Arabidopsis thaliana: one gene and its partner. The main gene of each other region encodes a partner of the protein of the gene in region 2 in a complex. Each region holds a gene or a part of one and is shown on either strand. Other genes may lie near its edges. The genes, in order: DPMS2 and DPMS1.

Region 1 (6,205 bases), about 21 Mb from region 2:
AATGAAGGTTCAGAAGAGAATGTTTTAGGCTCTTCACTTTTTTATCAGAAGAAGACGGTACATTACTTCAAAAAGAAAACATGCATTTATTAGTCTGGTCCAAAAAAACGAATCTACACCTTCCAAAATTTTGAAACCTATTTTAGCAAATAGTTAATGACAGCTTTTTTGTTGAAATAAAGAATTGACTATACAAATGTGGTAGAACAGAATTCAAAGCGTGTTGGAAAATAAAATAAAAAAGGAAATTGATTTTTGGTTGTATGTATTAAGTTTTGGTCTCTAGTACAGTACAAGTGAATGGGCTATTGATTTTATTAATTGTACGAAGATGACTTGAAATGATTTATCCATAAGCACTAAGTAGTGCTAATGAGATTAGAAAAAGCTAAAACTATGATTAAATTTCATAAGATAAGTCAAAACCAAAATTCATTACAGACATAGAATAATTGCAAAGAGAAAACTCACTTGTGTCTCTAATGCTTTGCCAGCTCTTAGCCTATGATGACTACTACTACTGATATTTTTCATAATATATCTGTTTCTCAACTTTCAAAAGCACTAATTATGATTTAAGGTGCTTATATTGCTAACAAACTGAATTCCTATCAGTCAATTTTATTTATTTTTCTCTCTAAAAAAGACGAAACCAGAAAAGAAAATAGATCAGTAACTGCCATATGGAGAATACACAAAAGACAAAATAAGAAACAAATATATATATTCGTGAAATGCATCATTCATCTAAATCATTCGTATATTCTGTAAATAGTTTTTTAGTTGAATTGTCAGGGAGCCTAAAATCCATCATCATTAGTATATATTCTCTCAAGAATTTATTTGAGCTTAACATGTGTATGTATTTAGAGTCAATAAGATATAGTCTCGTACGGTTCAACGACACCCATTTAAAGTTTCCGGACTAAACCTCTGAAAGACCAAAACAATGTAGGGACAACTTAAGAAACAAGGACAGAACTTTGTCTTACGGCAAGAGTTGAATGAAATTAAGCCTTCTTCTTTTTGGATTTGAGCATGACCATGCCGATGAATACGGAAATGAGAGAGAGAAGAGCTATGCCGGCAAAGACAGGTACGAGAATGGCATAGTCTTGGGGTAAGAAGTACTTGTGGATGAAGTGATCACTATCTACAAATGGCTGTACAAAACGAAAATTCTATTATGTCAGCTTTTTCCTAGTAATATCCTAAACATTAGATGACATTGGTACATCAAACTGACAATGTCTTTTTAAGGAACTTGGGGGAGATGTTGTCACTTACCAGGATGATGACCCAAAAAGTATAGTACGTGAATATGGACAAGCTGATTGAAGATAGTAGAAGCCCGACTGCTCGATCCGCTAATTCCATTTTGTCAAGTTCAAAACCTGCAGCACCGCAAATCAATTGTGAGAAAAAAATCAGAAAAATTCAAGAAGCTAAGCATTGGAAGATACAGTCAAAAGTGAAGGAAGTTATATTGTGAATGTCAATGAGACCATTTCACCTAGACTTTTCCCATTAGACCAGCTAATGCCATGGTTTTATGTTCTGAGGGTATGCAAACTGTGCTACTGCACAAGGCCTCTAGAAATTAAAACATTTGAAGAACGATAATCACCGGACATATGATTTGCTAGACATCAGATACACAAAGCTCAACAACTGCCTAAAACGAATCAGAGTTGACCTAGGAAGAATCAAACACTTGCAAGACTCTTGTCGTGGAGAGTAGTAATCATCTCCAGGCTCCAAAATCAACAGCTTGAAGTGATATTTGACCTATATACAGATCTTTGAGGTGTTGCTTACACAGCCCTATTCTCCTTCCATTTAAGCTAGAAGGAATACAAACAGAAAATCCAGTTTTCCAACCTGGAAACTTCTGTCTCTCCATTGCATGTAAAGTATAAACAGCAGGTGCAGCCATCGAACAACCAATTACGAAGCAATTGCAAGGCCTTGATTCGCTCACTAATCGAGCTAAAGACAATAAACACAAACCACTATTGGAAAGGCCGTATGTTAGATGTTCATCCCTGTCAAAAGCAGGAGAATCTAGTTTCTCATGTTGTATTTCCTGTTCTATATCTTCAGCAGAGGGAATAGTGCTCAGTTCCAAATCAAGGCGTTTCTCTATTTCATTTTCATGTATTCGATATTTTGCTGCCAAAGTACGGATGCATGACATTCTGATCTGATTATCAATAAGAGCCTTTATCTCATCAAAATTACTACAGCCTTCATACCAAATCACCCATCGCCGAACAAGTCCTGAATACCAATCAATTATTTGGGCAGTATCTAGCAAAATAAGCATAGAATTTGAACGAGCATAACCCTTGGCTGTTATTAATCCGTAGCGATAAAGACGCCTTCCTATAGCATTAGTCGGAGCGACAACATCACCAAAGAAAACAGGTCTATCATGAGATTGTGGACATGGCAAAAGCGCTTCCAGATTAGCCGTCTCTGATGAAACATATGCCGCAGCAGCGTTTTGGAACTTGTAAAACGCATCTCTTAGTTCTTGAGGAACAGTAGGTTCTACAACATGCTTGGACAAGACAAACTCCTCGCTTCTATCTGCAGAGGTTCTTAGCACGTCCTCCATCCATATTCTAAGCAAGATCTTATACCAATGATCTGTTTCCATGCCTGCCTTTCTGTGGCAAGATATTTGACTCAAGGTAGAGTTACTATCCGCCAAACCTTTGATTTCTGACTCTTTGACTTTCTTCAATCCATGTCCTAACCATTTCTTTCCAATTCTAACTGTACCTAAGGTCCAAGCCTCTTCTTTCTGCAATGCAAAGAGCCTAACCTTCTCCTTTAACTTGTGAACAGCTTTGACAGTGGGACTCTCCCTAACATTTTTCCTAACCAAGGTACCCAAAACACGAAGCCCACTGGTCGCTTCACATGGTGACGGGTCTGTCTCATCTGTGATGTCCAAATGCAGTGAGTTCCGTAAGAAACCTATAGCTTCAGATCTGATATCACTTGCAACTTTCTTGGGACCAGACACAGAGAAATATATCTCATCCATAAATCTGCAGCAATAAACTCTGAGTGCAACGTCCTGCTCTGTAGTACTTTTCAAACCTTGTTCTCCGGCTTGCCTCCTAAACCAGGAACGAAGTTTTGAGCCTGGGCTATCTTCATCAGTCTTTGAATCAAGACCAAGGGCTTCATGCCTCATTGAGATTCTATAAAATTCATGATCAAACCGATCAAGATATATGTTCATTAATACACGGGACAACACCCCTTCTTGTGGAAGACCATGGCCCTTGGGAAATCCTCCGAACTCGAGATTGAGCACCCGGGCTTCAAACATAGAACGGAGTAAGATGCTTAAACTGCTGTCTTCTACTTTTTCCTCCATTACAGAGAGCAAGTTCTCGAAAACAGAAACATCAAGTTTTTTGTTCAGGCTCAAAGTGAAACACCAATCCGAACGAGAAATATTGTTGTTGATGTACTTCAATGCAGAGGCACGTCCCCTTCCGCTTCGACAACTATGTGAAATCTTAGAAAAATGAGGACTGAAAACAACTTCAAGAACTATTCTGATAGCCTCTTGGACAACTTTAAGAGCTACACTAGGCAAGACAAGGACCTCTTTTGTTTTATCTCTAGCCACAATCGAAAACGTATTTGAAGCAACATCAAACACCCCACTAGAGAGCTCTTCTGCAATAGAATCAAACGCGACACTACCATTTCTTTCTGTTATAGAAACATTGGAGTTAAGCCTAATACAATCATAAGCATCCCGGAGAGTTTCAGGCCTTGCAATCACCTTCTTCAACAGATCACTAAACTTCCCATTGATGCACTGCTCTTTGACTCTTTTCTTCAACCGGAGTTCAAGAGATCGTTTTAGTTCCATACGACTTCTAGGTTTGCTATCATCATCAACATGAGAAGAAGATTCTTCTACAAGAGAAGCTAATTCCCCAGCTAGTGAAAACATTCCAGTTTCCTTACTAGCCATTTCTGCATTATCTGTTGCAAGCAGAGCCGATTTGGGAAACGTGGAGATTGTGCGACTCCATAAGCCCCGTGGGATTAGGGTTTCTATGTAACATCGGCGCAACAAATCTAAAACTAGGTTCCGTTTCCTAAACATCAAGTTAAAATTCCGATTCCTAATTCTAAAACCTATGCGATTATATCCCGACTAAGCCAGTACAAAGTTTCTACAATGAAACGGGACGAATCAGGTTTTTATCAATCTCTTTGCTTAAATCAACACAGAAATGGAAGGAAACTTACGTTCAGGGATGCGAAAAGCACGATTGGTCTGAGAGATAGAAATCGAAGAAGCTCTTGCTTTGCACAGTGAATTACTCGAGATTGAGAAGAAGAACTCGTGACTTGAGAATAGGAAGGAAGGAGGGACTATTTATGAAATAACATAAACTATTGCTTACTTCTATAAATTACATTTTGACACCTTTAGTTGTAGAATATTTATGTTTTAAACATTTTTTTTATAACAGACTTACAGGTAATTTAGTACGCAACAATGAGGCAGTTTCATTTACCATGAAAGCGCAAGAAAAAATATAGACAAAAATATCATTAAATGATAAATGATTAAATTAATAAATTCGTTAATTCAGTTTGATAATTAAGATAGAAACATGAGTGATCAGCTCTTCCTACGCGGTGGACCGACATCATCTACTTGTTCAATTGTTTATCAGTTTCCTATCAATTGACACTTTCTTATATGTAAAATGCGTTGCTTCATGCTTTGCTTATATTCATTCCCCCACGAATACAATAATATCTAATATTGAGCTACGTTTTAAGTTTACGTACCCCCTAAACCTCTAATTGTTTAAAAGGTTTCAAGGTTCAAGAACTCGGGTTTGGGTCGGATTAGAGCGAGTGGATATATTAGTACCTACAATATATACTTTCTCTTATTGGATCCAAAGCTATTTAATTTGGTGTCGTGCATGTGCAAGTTATTTTAGGTGATAATGTTGAATTTGACCAATGGAAACATCAAAACAACAAATGGGTACGCAGAGAAAAACCAAAACGCACAAACGACGTGGCTTTCAAGTGGCATGGACTTTTAAATTTCATAGCAAAATTTTCTTTTGTTTGGTCGCCTTAGTTGTTTGCCTTAGTTGTTTTGGCATGAACAATGTTGGCTCAATACCATTCACACGTCCTTAGTGTTGTTGAATGGACCATTGTTTTTTTATCGGAGGTTTCCTTTAGTTTTTTCTTTTCAACTGGTGGAAGTTAATAACTTTAAAATTGGTACCACTTTGATTTTTTTAGAATTTTGATCATTATGCATTCTAGTGTCAGAAGACACAACATGGATGCTTGAAACATATGTGGCAGAAGAGAGTGATTCAACTTCCTACTATGATTAGTTGAAGCTTGAAGCTACTACTGTATCTTTAAAGTAATAAAATTGAAGTTATAGAAATATGACTGTAGTTGATAAACATATAAGTAGACTATTTTTAAGATAAAAAATATTAGATGATTATCCTAAATCTTGTTGCATATCATCTATCAACAACTTTGAAAGTTTGATTTGTTTCTGAGTAATACTACTTTTTGCAGATTTTGTTTCTAATGACACAAAATATCATTTTAGCAATTAACTATAATTCCTTTTTTATATTGTTCTCTTTATGGAAGAGAATAGTAGCCTCTGAATTTTCTAATTCAAAAAAATATCAATGGTCTATCACGAAGTGTTATACTATTCAATTCAAAATTAATTGAATACTTAGACTAATCAAGGTAAAATAATACACGCATTTGACTCTTATCACGAAGAAAAAAAAAAGGTAAGAGAAAAATATTTATAACGGGAAAATAAATAACAAACAAAAGAAACGAATAAGATGAGATTTAATGATTAACAATGATTTAAAAAAAAAACATTGGTCAAAGCACGAAGTAAGTCAACTAGTGCCGTCCATATGAATCACATTGGACCCCACCATATACATGTATATTTTGTTAACCTCTTTTTAGTAAAATATCTTTAATTTTTTGAACATTTCAAAATGATGCCAATTTCTTCTCTTTAGTCGTCTAAAACTTAGTTAAATAACACTTTTAAATCTCTGGAGAAGCAAATATATCTTTTAATGCTACATAAGTCACATTCACCATATATTGTATGTAACGTAATTTTTAGATTTACATTATG
Region 2 (4,469 bases):
TGATCTTCACTTCCTCATTCAAAGCAATATCTCTAAGTCTCTGTTCCAATACCCAATTGTACATCAGTCTCAAATATTCAAGAACAAGCCAAATAAATAAATAAAAAAACTAATAGGGAGTTGTGGACTACTTGCCTCAAGCCAACCAGAGGCAGAGTTCGAAAATGCCATTAAAGTAGGAGGAGATTTAAGAGAGGCATTAATTCCACTAACAATAGACTCCACAAGCTTCAAACATGTAGCAGCATACAAAAATCCAGCGAGAAGGACATGAAGGCTTGACTGAGACAAATGAGAAACTCGTATCTCACTTTTAGCGCGGAAAGTTTGTTCCTTTCGGTCCCAGAAAATGAAGGGACTAGAGAAACCTTGCAAAGCTTGTAAGAGACCTTTCACCTAATTAACCTCCGGAGAAAAAGGGTTTAAGTTGCTTTGCCGAAAAGAATTTGAAAAGAGTAGTGTTTGTGGCATTACCAGATGGGATTCATTCACGCTCACTGAAGGAGGAGCTAGTTCTGAGTGTGTCCAAACTCTGTGACTGCACATCATTCCCGGAATTAGGGTGTCTAAGCCGGCGTGATCAATACGAAGCAACGACTCAGACATCACTGTGAATTTGATTTTCACATACCAAATTGGTTCGGAGGGAAATCGGAGAAGCTTTGATGTGGGTGAATTTGAGAGAGAGTGAGTGAGAGCAAGTGAAGAAAGGTCTCAAATGGGCCCAAATTATAAAGGCCCGTCGCAGTGACAAAGATTATCACATTACGAACGATCTAAAACATAAAACCTTCTTTGGTTGGTTGGTTAAGGTATTTATGAAATGTAAGATATCTCAACTCAACATTCAAAATCAACAATGTCTATAATATGAACTTTTGAGTCTTAAAAGATGCGACTCTCTGAAGTCAAAGTAAGTGAAGTTTCTAAACGACATGATCAGAGTTCAACTGTTAAGAGAAATCTATGAAGCAATGGAACAAATGAAGAGTATAAAGAGAGACTCGTGTGTTGTTGAGTTGCTTGGTGTGTCTTAAGTTGTAAGCAGGAGATAGACGAGGCCTTTTAGATATTCCACTATTTCAGATCCTCCGAGTTTCGAAGTTCCAAAGACTCTGTCAACAAAAGTGATCGGTACCTGCAGATGAAGATGAGCACCAGAGAATCAAGAATATGAATGGAAATATAGTTTAGAAAGAATCAAAATCACAGTGAATTGGTATAAAAAGAGAGACCTCTTCAATATGGTATCCTTTTCTGGTTGCACGAACAATCATTTCCATCTGAAAGACATACCCTTTACTCACACATGAGCTAATCACGTCTTCAAGCGCCGATTTCTTGTATAGCCTTCCAAACAAAGAGGTGCGGAGGTCAGACATGATACTATCAAATGATGTCAGTTAAAAATATGCGCATATGTTATTTGAATTATACCGGAATGATCCTGTTAAATCAGATACACCAGGCCATAAAAGTGTTTGAGCTAGCACATTTGCTCCTCTACTAGTGAGTTTCCGCATAAGATTCCACCCGTGTACACCACCACCTTTTACATATCGTGTACCAGTTACTATACTTGCATTTGTCTCTAGTTGTTTCCTTTATGATAATAAGAAAAAAAACAAATCAGTTGAAGTCACTATAGGTTGTGAAACTAGTAAGAGATCAAGAGACTCTTCTTTTTCTTACTTGATGAAACTTGGTAAGTATTTTGGCTGCACAGAAGAAAAGTGACTGGGTTAGCTAAACAATTAAACAGGTAAACAAGAAAACTAAATTAATGGCTCTTACATGATGTGAAAGATCAGCATCCATGATCACGACGAAATCACCCGTAGCATGCTTCAAACCATGAATATATGCAGTTCCTGAGATTGACCATGCCAAGAAAATTAATTTCATTTCTTGTTAACCAAAACTAGAAGACAATGAAGATACAAATTACATACCCAAACCAAGCTTCTTGGCTCTAGCTCTTAAAAGCTGCATCATAAAAAAGATAAAAACATGATTTCACCTAAACAGAAGAACGCCCAATAATTTACAAATTAAGGTCTTAACACATCATTGTACTCACGATACGGTCTTCACCATACAATTGCTGCAGTTGCTTGACAATTTCCTGTGTGCCATCAGGACTCCCATCATCCACAACAATTATCTCAAAATCAACGTCCCTAAATCATACAAACAAGTAGCGAAGCAAATTCTCAGTAACAGTTAACAAAGAGTCTACTTAACAAGTGCAATTCTATATTAATTTCATATAAGCAGCCATAACCAGAATCGATCTAAGATTAGCACATGTAGCTTCTGACTATTCTCCGATCACTAAATCAAAGTTTTTAAAACACCATGAAACTACTACTATATAGTTTGAGGGATCACTACATTGGCCTTTACTAGCTCATGCACAGAAACAACAAATCACGAATTAGGATCTGCAATCTACAGAAACATGATCGGAAAATTTCCGAGATCCGTAACTTGAAATTGGCGATCAGGTTCGAGTATTCAGTAAAAGAATAACAAAAAACGTAATTCCGATTCTGAAATGAAAGAATGAACGTGAAAAGACCAAAAGAAATAAATATTCATTTACCGGAGATGCTTGAAAATCAGGTAGACTATGATAGCGATGTTGAGGCGCTCGTTGTAGGTAGGAATGATTATGCTATACTTGTACTTCTTCTCTCCTTTGGTCTCCATCTCGTCCGCCATCTCTTCCGGCGAGTTTTGGTAACGGTGGTTCCTTCGTCTTAACCCGTGAAATCAGCCGTCGTCTGTACAAAAATAAGGATTAAAATAATGTCAAATATAGGGACTAAAAAGCAAGTTTCTCAAATTGGGCCTAATATAAATATGGGCCTATATAAAGCCCAAAAATAAATCAGGAAAGCTTTAAAAGAGGTAAACTCGTCAATCGCATCTGAGTCGCTCTTCTTTCCTTCCGCCATTTTTTTCTTTCTAGGTTGCAGAGTTAAAGGAGAAGGTTTTCAATTAGGGTTTTGTAGAGAGAAAGATGAGCCGAAGTTTGGGAATACCGGTGAAGCTTCTTCACGAGGCCTCAGGTCATATCGTGACGGTGGAGCTAAAGAGCGGCGAGCTTTACAGAGGAAGTATGATTGAGTGTGAGGATAACTGGAACTGTCAGCTCGAGGATATTACTTATACCGCCAAGGTAATCAACTGATACTCTGAAGATCTCGATTCATTTTATATGAGACTGTTTTTTGAACCATAGGTTTCGTTTCAATTTCATTGTTTGATGTTAGTGCTGTTAAAACCCTAGATTTGGTGAGCTGGGCAAATTTGCTGGGAAATTTTAGATTGCTTCTTATTTTAAGTTCTAAGTGAGATTAAGAATCCTTGAAATTCATGCTGTATAAAACCCTAGAATGCGTGATCCTGCCAGTGACATTAGATAAATTTTGACTGTAGGGTATAGTCTCCTCTGATTGGTTAAACTTATTATTGATCTATAGGACACATCAATAACTGAGAAGAAAGGTTCTACGTTTGTGCTTTGTAACGTTTTATCCAAAGCCTAAGTTGCTCTTTAGGAATACAGTGGTCAAATGTGAATTATCTGAAGTATGCAGGTCTTAAAGCGTCCTCTTATTTGCGGATTATTGTGCCGTATGGGTTTTGAGTCAACCTGTAATTATTGGGAAAAGAACTACATGTAGTTCTCAATTCAGAAAGTCTTAACTCTTTAAGTGTTATTCTTCATAGTATACATAAATAATCTGTCAACTTAATGGGTTTGTTTGTTAATTGTCACTGAACTTTTGTTTTGGGTTTTCCAATGCTGTGTTACAGGATGGTAAGGTATCACAGCTTGAGCATGTCTTCATTCGAGGCAGTAAAGTCAGGTGCTGTACTTGTTTCCTTGTTTATGTAATTCATGGGATCATTCTTGTTAACCCTAGCTGTTTAGTAATTGACCTGCGGATATATCTTGACAGGTTTATGGTCATACCAGACATTCTCAAACATGCTCCAATGTTCAAGCGGTTAGATGCTAGAATCAAGGTATATATGCTTTTTGAACCCTGGATGCAGAATGATATTAGGATCTCTATACATATCTCCAACAAACATCTTACCTTACTTGCTTAATCAATGTAGGGAAAGAGCTCATCACTGGGTGTTGGCAGAGGTAGAGGTGCAATGCGAGGGAAAGTAAGTTCACCCTCTCTCTCTTATGATTTAGTGCTCATGAATGCAATGTTAGGAAGTTTTATGGAACTTGTTAAGATGTTCAAATCCTTGTTATCCCTTAATGGTTTGTTTCTTCTTTGTCACTACTAATGGTTAGATTCTTGAATCTTTGTGATATTATCTTAAAGCCGGCTGCCGGGCCCGGGCGTGGAACTGGAGGAAGGGGAGCGGTACCACCTGTGAGGAGATGATTGATTTTACGCTCAACATGTAAGCTTTGATTCTGGGATAGTCTTTCTGTG

Evidence for each region.
Region 1: DPMS1 (region 2) and DPMS2 share a complex: the UniProt entries of both Arabidopsis thaliana proteins name them as parts of the dolichol-phosphate mannose (DPM) synthase complex.

What each region holds. Positions count from the first base shown.
Region 1 is NC_003070.9:27,947,278-27,953,482, forward strand, and holds DPMS2 (dolichol phosphate-mannose biosynthesis regulatory protein-like protein), read right to left. Parts: upstream 4,392-6,205; 5' UTR 4,288-4,391; intron 4,137-4,287; exon of another isoform or gene 4,007-4,136; coding exon of another isoform or gene 1,745-4,006; intron 1,742-1,744; exon of another isoform or gene 1,514-1,741; intron 1,395-1,513; 5' UTR 1,378-1,394; coding exon 1,288-1,377; intron 1,164-1,287; coding exon 1,011-1,163; 3' UTR 768-1,010; downstream 1-767. Other genes in the region: AT1G74350 (Intron maturase, type II family protein), read right to left, coding at 1,745-4,006. UniProt on the Arabidopsis thaliana protein: Regulates the biosynthesis of dolichol phosphate-mannose. Regulatory subunit of the dolichol-phosphate mannose (DPM) synthase complex; essential for the ER localization and stable expression of DPMS1.
Region 2 is NC_003070.9:7,125,954-7,130,422, forward strand, and holds DPMS1 (Nucleotide-diphospho-sugar transferases superfamily protein), read right to left. Parts: upstream 2,810-4,469; 5' UTR 2,725-2,809; coding exon 2,606-2,724; intron 2,181-2,605; coding exon 2,081-2,180; intron 1,987-2,080; coding exon 1,953-1,986; intron 1,872-1,952; coding exon 1,795-1,871; intron 1,719-1,794; coding exon 1,693-1,718; intron 1,603-1,692; coding exon 1,438-1,602; intron 1,351-1,437; coding exon 1,236-1,350; intron 1,139-1,235; coding exon 1,034-1,138; 3' UTR 794-1,033; downstream 1-793. Other genes in the region: AT1G20570 (Spc97 / Spc98 family of spindle pole body (SBP) component), read right to left, coding at 1-40, 136-396, 475-606; AT1G20580 (Small nuclear ribonucleoprotein family protein), read left to right, coding at 3,026-3,184, 3,826-3,878, 3,972-4,038, 4,135-4,188, 4,356-4,418. UniProt on the Arabidopsis thaliana protein: Transfers mannose from GDP-mannose to dolichol monophosphate to form dolichol phosphate mannose (Dol-P-Man) which is the mannosyl donor in pathways leading to N-glycosylation, glycosyl phosphatidylinositol membrane anchoring, and O-mannosylation of proteins; catalytic subunit of the dolichol-phosphate mannose (DPM) synthase complex.